Linked DNA regions of Caenorhabditis elegans. The protein of the gene in region 2 purifies or fractionates together with the protein of the main gene of each other region. This does not show direct contact. Each region holds a gene or a part of one and is shown on either strand. Other genes may lie near its edges.

Region 1 (7,664 bases), on a different chromosome or scaffold from region 2:
CAGTTTTTTGAAAAATTATAAAGAAATTTCACGAAAATCGGAGAGCGTTGTGACGTCACAAATTTTCAAAAAATATTTTTCCGCCATGTTCGTGTTCATGGGACATCCTGACACCACGTTGCGCAAAATTCGATACCTCTTCCAATGGGAAGTAACAGCTTATTCCTAAAAACTGGATGATCTTTTCCATATCGGAGCACCGCATCGGCAATTGGTTTGGAGACCTGCCGGGCGGCAATCATAAATACTTGAATCATAGGCAATCCCATCCTTCCTCCTTGTCCTTTTTCTCTTTTGTCACATAGAAATCTGAAAAAAGCTGAAATTTTTTTCGAAGCCTTACAAGTCGGATTTTTCAGAAAAATCGAAAAATTTTCGTTTTTTTTTGGTATAAAAAATTGATTTTTCAAGAATTTGCTGGAAATTTTGGCAATTTTTAGAAATTATAAAATTTGATGAAATATTGGATTTTCTGATTTTTCTGAAAAAAAAAACATTTTTTAGAACAACAATTTGATAAATTTTTAAAAAGATTTTTCGATTTTTTTTTGGTTTTTTTATTAATTTTTTTTAAAAGAAAGTTATATTTTTTTATCAACATAATCGAAAATTTTTTATTTTTCAAAAGTTATTTGAAAATTGTTCTGAAAATAAAAAAAATTTGGAAAAATAATCTTATCCATTTTTTTTGTTAATTTTCTTCTTTTTTCTCTCCGAAAAAAAATCTAATCTAATAAATTTTTATTTTTTCGATATTAAAAAAATTGTTTTAAAAAAAATTACTTAAAATTTTGGTATTTTTTAGAAATTATATAATTCGACAAAATATTGAATTTTTGCTAGTTTTCTAAAAACAATCGTTTTTTTTTCAATTTTCTGAAAAAAATTCGAAAACTGCCCCGTTTTTCCAGTATTTCGAAAAAGGATATTTTTTAGAACAAAATTGATTTTTCTTTTTTTCTGCAAAGAAAAGATTTTTCGCTTTTTCGATTTTCCGGAAAACCGAAAATGTTAGTTTTACAATTTTTTATTCAAATTTTGGTTTTTTTTTTTAATTTTTTGAAGAAAATTATATTTTTTCATCAGGATAGACAAAAATTGATGATTTTTAAAGTTTTGTTTCTAATTTTTCTGAAAATCGAAAAGAATTCGTTTTCCAATATTTTGAGAAAATAGCTCAAAATTTTGGAGTTTTTCCATTTTTTAATAATTTTTTTCTGAAAAAACCGAAAAAATGAATGATTTTTCTATGAACCTGTTAAAAAACTACAAAAAAAACAAATAAAAAATGGAAATTTCAACCATTTGGCCAACTAGGAGATATTTGAAGGTAAAAAAGCCACGAAAATTCATTCAAATTAAGAAAAAAGAAAGTGACGGAACAGTGTAACAACTTGAGGGGTAGTCAAACAACAACAAAAAAAAAGGATAACGAATAAAAAAATAGTAACAAAATTTCAAAAAAACGGGGATTATTGAATAAGAGCCTCGATTTGTTTGCGAAGAGAACGACACTTGATTTCCATGACTTTACAGGCTTCAACCACCAATTCAGACGATTTCAGAGCTCCAGTCGACTCTACACTGACTGAAAAAAAAACTAAAATTGCCGGAATTCAAAATTTCCGGCAAATCGGCAAACCGGCAAATTGCCAATTTGCCGAATTTGCCGGTAAAAATTGTGAAAAATTTTTTGTGTGTTTTTTTTTCAGTTTAAAAAAAAAGAAATTTGAAATTTTGGCAATTTTTTTAAATGGTTTTTTGGTTTTTTTTTGTATTTTTGAAGAAATTTTCATTTTTCTCATTGAAATATAATTTATTTTTAAATAAGTTTATAGTTTTTCCCTCTTTTTTCCTACGTTTTTTTCGGTTTTTTTTTTATATTTAAAAAAAATCGACTTTCTCAACCAAAAAAATTAGAAAACTTGGGAAAAATCGAAAAATTTCTGACGACGAAATTTTGTGTTTTTTTTTCGTTAAATTTTTTTTTCTCATCAGTTTCGATAAAATTGATTTATGGGGTTATTCAAGTAGTGTCGGAAAATTAAAAAGTGTAAAAAAATTTTTGCGAAAAAAAAAAAAAATTGCTACATTACTTGAATAACCCCATTAGAAAAAATCATATTTAATGGTTAATTTTAACCGATTTTTACTAATTTTCCACAAAAATTCGGGCCCTTGAAAAGTAGAAAATTTAGGATTTTTGTAATTTTATCGGAAAAAAGTTCGAAAAAATGGGTTTTTTTTGTGAATTTTTCAGAATTTTTCGAATTTTCCCCAGTTTCTGCTCAATTTTAATTTTCTGAACATTTTTTTTAAAAATTTTTTCGTTTTTTTTAAGTTCGAAAACTCAAAAATTTTCTTTTCCCAATTTCCAATTTTTCAACTTTTCGTTTTAAAAATTTTTTCAAAAAAAAAATCGAAAAACGGCACGTCTGTACCATGTTTCTGGCGAAAATTCTTTTTTTTTCGAAAAAAAAAGCGAAAAAAAATATATAAAAACTCCGGCTCCAAAAAAAATTACTTATACATTTTCCAAAAAAACCACTCTCAAAATTAAAAAAAAGAGTTAAAATTTGGCAAAAATATTTAAAATTTTCAAAATAAGGTTTCAAACTTTAACAAAATTGGGGTTTGTTTTTCGACAACTTTTCGTGTATTTTTTTTTGGAAAAAAAACCAAAAAAATGCGAAAAATTCATGAATTTCAGTTTTTTTTTTCGAATTCAGCCCTGCCACTAACAAATGAAATGCTGTTTGTTCTTTCCCAATTGAACAACTTTCGACAGATCTTCGTGGCGGAACACGTTACGACTGCACGTATCCTTGCGAGCATCCTTGACAACAGCAATTCGTTTGGCTGAAATTTTAAAAAAATTGGTGTGTTTCCTAAAAATTGATTTATGATCTACCTCCTTTCTTCTCGATAGCAATAACTCCCTCGCTGAATACTGATTTGAGACGTTCGGCAGCTTCACCCGAAATTTCGGCGTTCAAGCGGATCGTTGGAAGCAGTCTGGAATGAAAAGAAATTTTTTGAAAAATTGGAAGAATTTGAAGGTCAAATTGGCAAACCGGCAAACCGGCAAATTGTGTTTTTGCACATTTTTTTTGGAAATTTCAGATTTTCAATTTCAATCGGCTAAATTGTACGCATCCTATAAATGTTCCTACATGTATTTTGAAAAGTAGGCAAATTCTATGAAAATTTCCGGCAAACCGGCAAATCGTCAATTTGTCAAAAATGAAAATTCCGGCAAATCGGTAAACCGGCAAATTGCAGAAAATGAAAATTCCGGCAAATCGGTAAACCGGCAATTAACCGAAATCGAAGTTTCCGGCAAATCGTCAAACTGGCAAATTGCCGAAAAAGAAAATTTCCGGCAAATCGACAAATCGGCAAATTGCTGAAAATGAAAATTTCCAGCAAATCGCCGAAAATGAAAATTTCCGGCAAATCGACAAATCGGCAAATTGCTGAAAATGAAAATTTCCAGCAAATCGCCGAAAATGAAAATTTCCGGCAAATCGACAAATCGGCAAATTGCTGAAAATGAAAATTTCCAGCAAATCGCCGAAAATGAAAATTTCCGGCAAATCGCCGAAAATGAAAATTGCCGAAAATAAAAAAAAATTGGCAATTTGTCAAATTTGTCGACAAAAAAATTCACCTCTGGCTTGAAATTTTCGAACTTTTTTTTCCACAAAATTACAGAAAACAGTCTAAATATACTGAATATAGGTAGATGTACAAAAATTATTTAACTTCCCCAAAATATCTCGTAGCGAAAACTACAGTAACTCTTTAAAAGCTACAGTAGTCATTTAAAGAATTACTGTAGTTTTCGCTACGAGATATTTTGCGCGTCAAAAATTTTGTGTAATACGCATTCTCAGAATTTGGGGTCCCGTAAAACCGAAAATATATTATATGAATTATAATTTTTTTCCCCCCAATTTTTCACTTTTTCCGAGAAAATCGAAAAACGAAAAATTTTCAATTTTCCGGAAAACCGCAAAAATCAAAAGAAAATATTTCAGCAGCTTCAAAATTCACACCTATAGGACGCAGTAGCAACCGGTGAGAACTTTGCATGATCCCGTCCGATTCCCTTGACCGCATGGCAACTGGCTTCAATTTCCTGTCCAGGACGAAGCTTGGCAACGAGAATATCATCAGAAACCATACGTGGATGGGCTTCTTCGGTGAATTGCGTCTTCTGATCAGCAATCGGTACCCATTCAAAAGCACGTGAGTAGACCGAGCTATTGTGATAAAGCTGCTTCGGATCGGTAGCCGTCGGCACCGCATTTCGATTCTTCGTACACGAAACATTAATCTTGAAGATCAAATTTTTCGCGGGATCTCCCTCGGGCTCCTCGTCACAATCCACTCCCTTCTCATTGATTCCAACGACTTTTTCCTTTGGAAACTGAAATCCACGTGGATCCACACGAAGCGGCAGAAGACCCAAACGATGGCAGAGTACTTCATCTTGAATTACAGAAGTATTCTGATAGAGATAAATCTTCTCGAGAGCCATCGTTGGCACTTCGGCGATGAGCACACGGCGAAGAGCATTTGCAATTGGAGCTTCAATGCGAGTAATATCAAATTCCAATGTCATTCCATCGTCGGATTCATTGACCATTGCCACTTGGATTTGATCGCAATACTCGTTGATATCGAATTGTTTTGTATCGTCGTATTCGACATAATCGGTGCATTCGTCGTAGGTCTGGAATTGAAGAAGAATTTTTGGAAAATTTAAAAAAATAAAAATTTCGGCCGAAAAGCAAAAAATCGAATTTCTTCAAAAAAAAAAAACAAAAAAAAATATTGACCAGAAATGTCGGTTTTTTGGTTTTTTTTTCCTTTTTTTTTTGAGACGAAAAAATTGGCAAAAAAATTTTCCCGTGGTGGAGAGTTGAACTCAAACTGCTGCGAGTGAATATAAGCATTGACTCCATCTTCGATTTGCTGTTCAAGCGTGGGCGTTTTTAGCTTCTTGCTCTTCGGTCCGGAGGACATCGCGACAACGACGTTACGCGTGGTGAAAAATACACGCAATCCGCTTTTTTTTTGTTCATTTTTTCTTTGGTTTGTGTTTTTTTTTTCCAAAAAGTTGAAAAAATCGAAAGTTAATTTTTTCTTGGTTTATCTCACAATTTTAAATTTTTTCAATTTTTTTTGAAAAAAAGTAATCTTTCACTAATTTCCGGCAGTTGATAAATCGCCGCCTTTTTTCGTAAATTTGTATAACAATTTTTTTCGGAAAAATAACGATTTTCAATAAAAAATTGGAATTTTTTAAAATTTTTCTGGACGAAATTTTAAAAAAATACGGAAAATGCTTTTGCCGCCTGATTTCCTAACGAGACCCAACGTTTGGGGGCGGAGCGCTCTCGTTTCCCAATGGAGCGCGATTGCATCCTTGAAATATTCAAAAAATCCTACATTGAGCACAACTTCCTCTTTCATCTCGATCTCATCACTGTGATAGGTAGCCTGCTTGCTAGTTGCCGCCGCTTTTTTGACCATTTTTGCCTGGAAATTTTTTGATTTTTTTCGCCTGAAAACTCTATGGAAAGATATAAAATCGCTGGGAAAACGAAAAAAAAAACAAAAAAATGGAAAAAAACATTTAAATCGATATTTTTTTGAATTTAGCATTAAAAATAAACCCAGAGTCCCCAGAACAAGAGAGAAAAAAAAGAAAAACCAACAAGTAAATAAATAAATAATAAAAATGCGAAAAGAAAAAAGAATAGAATCACATTTTCAAGGAATCATGGATATTTACAACCAGCCATAAATTGGAAAAAAAATCAGGAAAAAGCAGGGAAAAAAAGTGATTAAAGCATAGATATTACTAGAAGAAAAAGGAAATTTTTGGGCAAGATTTTTTGAAAATCTCGTATCGATTTTTTGTGGAGCATTTAGCGAGGCTGGTCATCCGTCCAAATTCCGATCTGAAAATAAAATTTTAATGTCAAAAATATTGTCAGGTCGCTCTACCGCACACGAAAATGGCGGGAAAATATTTTTTGAAAATTTGTGACGTCACACAGCGCATTTTGAATAATTGCTTTTGTTCAATTTAAGCGCCGATTTTCGTGAAATTTTTTTAAAAACTGGCTCATTTTAATTTATAAAATTTGATATTTTACAAAAATTCTAAAATTTAGTGGAGAAATTGAAGCAAAATACAATAAAAATGAATAATTTCAATTTAAACAAAAATTTATTTGGAAAATCATTTTTAAAAAATTCACGGAAACTTGGTAAATGAACGGTTTAAATGGTTTTTCGAAAAAAAAAATTCGTTTCAATTGAAATTATTCATTTTTATTGTGTATTTTGCTTCAATTTTTCCACTAAATTTTAAGAATTTTGGTAAAATATCAAATTTTATAAATTAAAATGAGAAAGATATTATTTATTTATTTTTTTTTTAAGTTTGACAAAAATCGGCGCTTAAAATTAAGAAAATTATTCAAGATACGCTGTGACGTCACAAATTAAAAAAAAAATATTTTCCCGCCATTTTCGTGTGCAGTAGAGCGATGGGACATCCTGACACCACTTCAAAAAAGGCCTAAAAAACTGCAATTTTACCGTATATCTGAACCAAATGAGCACAAGATCTCGGCCCATTTGAAGCCAAGACCAAATTGGAGTAATCTTAGACCCTTCGATTTCAGTCCATCGAACTGAAACTTCTTTCACAGGGACCGTCCATCTTTCGCAAAGGAAGATGAGCTCAACGTCAAAAGCCCAGCGCTCAATGTGAAGTACTGGGAAAATCTGAAAAAAAAACGTTTTTTTTTTTTGGTTTTTTTTACTTTAATTTGACGAATTTTAGCTAAAATCTTAAATCAGGAATTGAAAATTTTCGGCAAATCGGCAATTTGCCGGAATTGAAAATTTCAGGAAAATCAGCAATTTGCCGGAATTGAAATATCCGGTAAATTGACAAATTGCCGTTATTGAAAATTTCCGGCAAATCGACAAATCGGCAAATTTCCGGAATTGAAAATTTCCGGCAAATCGGCAAACTTCCGGAATTGAAAATTTCCGGCAAATCAGCAAATTGCCGGAATTGAAAATTTCTGGCAAATCGGCAAATTGCCGGAATTGAAAATTTCCGGCAAATCGGCAAACTTCCGGAATTGAAAATTTCCGGCAAATCGGCAAATTGCCGGAATTGAAATTTCCGGCAAATCGGCAATTTTGCTGAATTTAAAATTTCAGGAAAAATGGCAAACCGACAAATTGTCGATTTGACGAATTCGCCTGAAACACGGCAATTGCCGAAAATTTTCGGCAAATTGTGGTTTTGCACATTTTTGGAAATTTCAGAGGTTAAGAAAAATCCCTGTAAAAACTTGCGGCAAATTGGAATCCGGCAATTTTCGAGAATTTAAAATTTCCGGCAAATCGGCAAACCGGCAACTTGCCGACTTGCCGAATTTGTCGACAAAAAAGTCTGCCAATTTTTTAAACATTTTCTCCCAAAAAGAAAAAAAAATTCGAACATATATATATATATATAATAGTCGATTTCCGACCACTACGACCCCAAAAAGTAGGCCAAAATTGGAGATTTTTAGCTAAAAATAAGCTAAAATCTCACCCTCGCAGCAATCGATCTAGTAAAAAGT
Region 2 (4,985 bases):
CGATATTTTGACTTGCCCTTCCAAAGACACACGAATGTATTACGATGGGTCTAGGTGCGCAAAAAAGTTTGTGGTAGTCTTTTATTGTCCATTTTCTACAAAATTCGCTAAAACTAAAATCGTTTTTAGCTAAAAATGAAGTAATCCCGTGTACCTTCAAAGAAGAGGTCGAAATCTCGTGAAATTACGATAACTCAAACTTTCCTAGCATATTCGGTGGAAATTAGAATAAAATTTTCAAAAGAGACAGTTCACCTTTAAATTTTCAATTAAAACCCCCAACATTTTGAGACTAAACAATTTTCAGTGGAGAATTGCATCTCACTGCCACCGATAATTGTACATTTGATTGTCAACAAAAGTCTCTTGGTAAAGATGATTTCACAAAAATTCCGAATGGAGTAAACGGAGTTGAAGACAGAATGTCAGTTGTTTGGGATAAAGGAGTTCATGCTGGAATCATTGATCCTATGAGATTTGTGGCAGTCACTTCTACAATGGCTGCTAAGATCTTCAATTGTTACCCACAGAAGGGAAGAATCGCAGTTGGCTCCGACGCGGATATTGTGATTTGGAATGCGAATGCAACTAGAACTATTTCAAAAGATACACATCATCATGTGAGTTTTAGGTTTTAGTAAATTCAATTTTAATGCAAAAAATTCAAGGCGATTGACTTCAATATTTTCGAAGGAATGCAAGTACACGGAGTTCCAGAAATCACAATTTCCCGAGGACGTACTGTTTGGGCAAATGGTCAACTGAAAACTGTTCAAGGTTCAGGACAATTCATTCCTTTGGCTCCAGACTCTCAAATCGTCTTCTCAGCTGTTGACAATCGTAAGAAGGCTATGGAACCTGTGAAAATAGACCGAATTCCATATGAGCCATCGGCACTGCAGACACCTGATGCCAATGCGAACATCGTTGTGAAAGCTCCAGTCAGGGCAGCAATTCCTCCAGGAGGAGCTAGCAGCATTCAGTTTTAAATCTACTTGTAAATAATTGTTTTTTTTTTATTTTTAAAAATTCAATAAAAAAATCACTTCCAAAAAGTAACAATGCATCAAAAATTGAAATTATAACAAAAACATAACAAATCAAGCAACAATGATATTCAGATTAATTTTTCTTTCCTGCTTTTCTTTTCAGGCCGCCGACCATTCTCTTCTTTCCGACTCCTTTAGCTTTCAAAAGTGGGCGCCCTTTCTTCACTTTAGGAACTGCTGTTTTCTTTCCATTTCCTTTTTTAACTTCAGCGATTTCGTCATCTGGAACATCATCTCCGTTCTCCTGCCGTGCAGCTTCGGCAGCCTCACGAGCTCGCTTTTTGATTTGGCTTTAAAAAATTTTTATTTTTAAAGTTTTTACATTTCACGATAAATCTAACAATAAATTCGTCAGCTTAATACGCCTATAAGTGTACCTTTTAACTTTTCTGGACGACTTTCTCTCTTGCTTGAAGCTGTTGGCCAACACAATGGCCTTCTTCTCGGCTTCTTCATAATCATGTCTTGTCAACCTCTCCTTTGGAACTGGGGTCTCGAAATGTAATGGATCTTGTCCACGAGAACTCTTATCGAACTTCTTAACAAGATCATAGATCTTCTTTCTTCTCTTAGCATTTAAATGTTCTTGCTTTCCCACTTCAAATAGCAACGCTCCGATTTCCTTGTAACTGAATTCAATTCCACCTTGATCCATCTCTTCTCCTTCTTCAACAGCGGTGATCAAATCACTTTTCTGCTGGAGAATAGTTTTGAAAATTTCTTCATAAAGTGATGTGAACAAATATTCACTGATGTCTTTGTTTCCGAGAAGTTCAATGTATGGCTTGAGACAGGCCGTCACTTGCTTCTTGGTTAATCCTCCGGCTGCATCAAGTTCGTCGAGAAGAATCGAGGCAAAATGGAACTTTAGAGCTTCGTTGAAGGACTTATCTGAAAATTAATCGAAATATAATGAGAATAAAATTAACAAATCTACTAACCTGTGGAGATAGTAGTTTCCTGGAAAACTTTCCAGTATTCGTCACGGATATCCTTTTTCCATTTTAATTCGGCAAGATGAGTGAAGCAAGCTCGAACCATACGACGAACTTCCTAAAATACAACGACATTTTAGACGAAGGAATATTACAAATTTACCATCAAGAATTTATCCATGCGCCATCGATCGATATGAGGCCACTCTTTGGAAAGACTTTTCAGAAAGCACGCAACAAAGCGTACTTTTTCTTCCTCCGATGTGAAAATATTAATAAGTCCTCCAATTCTGTCAGCCAGCTCTTCCTGAAGAATCATTTTGTCTTGCATCCACATCACATAGTGAAGGCCCTTGCATAAGCGCATCAAGTCAGCATCATCGAAATCTGAATATAAACTTTTAACAATTATATGTAAGTTGGAAAATAACTCACGTTTCTTTGCGGACTGATCACGAATCCAATCGTGAAGAACGCGAAGAGCTCTTTGACGCGTAGCTGGCTCTCCGCAAGCGAGTTTCTGAGCGAAAACTACTTCGACGCTTGCCAAGTCGACATCCATTATTGGAATTCTAAAAAATAAGTAATATTTGAACTGTCTTAAAATAGAAAAGTAACAAATTTTGAAAAATCCATTTGAATAAACTGTATTGGCTTCAACAAGTATTCCAATACTGTTTTTTGAACAGAACCCCGTTTTTACTTGATTTACGGATGAAAGTAATTGTAAAATGGTGAAAAATTATTTTTATAATTTTTTTACAATGAAAGTTTTATAAAATATTGGAAAATCATTACGGAAATACAGAAATTGGAAATAAAAATTGAATGAATAAAAAAAGAATTAGAGGATGCAGTGCACTGGGGCGCACTTGCCTCCTGTGGAGAGAGCATGTGGGACGTAGAGTCGCAGAGTGAACTTGCCTAACTTTTTGGAAACTGCCAAAGAACATCTTATACATTTTCAAAAAATGTCGGTCTTTGAAAAATTAAATAATTTTCATTCGAGAGTTTCGAATCATGTATAAACAGCGATGATGCATGCATGTAAATTATCGGGGAGAGTGCCCGACAACCTCAATAAGGTTTTGAAACTATGTTGGTTCAGAAGAACATGCTTCCTAGAAGTGAAATCTTTGAATATATTAAAATTCGGATGAATTCTCAGTGAAACATATTCATATTTTTCGTTATTCCTCAACACCGAGAATCACTTCTCTCGTCATTCAAATCCCGCTTTTCAGAGTCACAATGAATTGCCGCAATTGTTTTTGCATCAGAAGTAGCTGTCCTCTCTCTCTCTCTCCCTATTTCTTTCATTCTCTTTTCCTTTTTACGCAACAAGATCGTCCTCTATTTATGCATTTATATCAGAAATGAACACGAAAAGAGAAATAGAGAGAAAGACAGTATCTGCTTCTTGGCTTTTCTCCAGCTTATTTTCTCAGAGGATGCAAAAAAGTGGGAGGAGCGTGGTTTTTGTTCAGGAAACGATAACATTCGCCTCCCACCATCCTCTTGCCAACCACCAATTCTTTTAAGATTTTCAGTTTCTACTACATATCTCTAATTCTCCAAATTTTAGATGACAATTTTATTATTGTTTACTGTATTTTTTGGGTTTATACCCTTTACAGGTATTTTGAATTCTAAAAAAGCAACTAGAATAATCGTTGAAAATTTAAGAAGTTGAAGCATGTATGCCTGGATACGAAGCTGAAAGAGATCGATTAAGGGAACATTTAGGAATTGAATGGATCCAAAATGGACTCTCAAAATCAGGTAGGATTTTTGAAAAGGCTGTACTTTTTGGTATGTCGTTAGCTCAAGAAAACATGAATTTAGGCGATAGTGAATCCTGTGTTTATTTTCAGAAATTTCAAATTTCAAAGGGTAAATAAATAAGTACAATCGTGGCGAGGCGCAATTAGAAAATAAGTGTGTGCCTTTAAATTTACGTTTTACTAATTTACGATAGATATATGAGAAAGTTAACTGTGGTTGAGATGAGAAACAAATTGGAGCTTTTCTATGTGTTTCTCTGTTTTAGTTGTGCGGAAATTGGTTTGGATTTTTAAGCCTATCCCAGCTTAAATTTAAAACTAAGACTTCTATAGTACCTGCCTGCTTTAGAGCAGCCAGCCTACTAAATCATAAAACCAAAAAAAATCACGAAGACTTTGCCAACTTCTAATGTTTTTGTCCTACTTTTGTAGCAAGTTCAATAGACACGAGTAAAACAGTCAAAGGAAAATTCCAAGTAGGCACAAGTTAAGGCACAAGGCAGGCATAGGTGGCGTGAAAAGTAACTATGCAGGTATTTTTTTACCACGAGAATTTCAAGATTATTAATTAAAGTGTAGTCTATTTTTCTCTATGAGCGGAAAGCTTCAAGCAGGAAATGGAGTTTTTTAGTGAGCACATCGTGTTCTACAATTGATTTTTTTTAACTAGTGTTCCATCGTACTAATTCACACTGATCGTTCTTCACAAATGCTTATAGATTGTATACTTATGTCTTTCTTTTCTTTGACTCATACCGTCCTGATCCGTCGATTCTCCTTTGGTAAGCTTTCTTTTTTCTGATATTTCAGCTAGTGCGATGGCGTAACATCTGCATTTCGGATGATATAACGTTGATATGGATTACGAGGCTAGGAAACCAAAAAAACGTGTTTATTCAAGGATAATCATTATCACTTTGTTAGGCAAGGACAGTTGGCACGATGATCATTGAGATTTTTGAGAAGAATTGTAGAGTCATGTGAACATATCGAACATTCCTAGTACCTGTTCACAGTTGTGAGATTGCTTAAAAATTACACGTATCAGTTTGAAATTTCAAGAACAGTTTAAGGGTTTTCATTCTTCTTATAGGCAATTTAGACTAGAACTACAACAGAGATCAATCGAAATTCTCTATAATTATATTATGGTGACCAACAGAGATGCGATGCACATTTTTCTGAACTTCCGGGAAATTAAAAATTACCATTTTTCA

The links. Proteins that work in one complex are often made in the same cells at the same time.
Region 1: the proteins of rrp-1 (region 2) and rpac-40 fractionate together in Caenorhabditis elegans (co-fractionation; one large-scale study listed by BioGRID). This does not show direct contact.

What each region holds. Positions count from the first base shown.
Region 1 is NC_003283.11:4,197,368-4,205,031, reverse strand, and holds rpac-40 (DNA-directed RNA polymerases I and III subunit RPAC1), read right to left. Parts: upstream 5,548-7,664; 5' UTR 5,542-5,547; coding exon 5,458-5,541; intron 4,739-5,457; coding exon 4,059-4,738; intron 3,016-4,058; coding exon 2,912-3,015; intron 2,860-2,911; coding exon 2,743-2,859; intron 1,589-2,742; coding exon 1,473-1,588; 3' UTR 1,336-1,472; downstream 1-1,335. Other genes in the region: H43I07.1 (Peroxin-14), read right to left, coding at 137-269; algn-5 (dolichyl-phosphate beta-glucosyltransferase), read right to left, coding at 5,940-5,972, 6,619-6,807, 7,637-7,664.
Region 2 is NC_003282.8:9,979,721-9,984,705, forward strand, and holds rrp-1 (Ribosomal RNA processing protein 1 homolog), read right to left. Parts: upstream 2,557-4,985; 5' UTR 2,547-2,556; coding exon 2,420-2,546; intron 2,372-2,419; coding exon 2,148-2,371; intron 2,103-2,147; coding exon 1,991-2,102; intron 1,941-1,990; coding exon 1,427-1,940; intron 1,340-1,426; coding exon 1,123-1,339; 3' UTR 1,014-1,122; downstream 1-1,013. Other genes in the region: dhp-2 (Dihydropyrimidinase 2), read left to right, coding at 308-620, 669-989; mam-2 (MAM domain-containing protein), read left to right, coding at 3,570-3,621, 3,671-3,766. UniProt on the Caenorhabditis elegans protein: May be involved in the generation of 28S rRNA.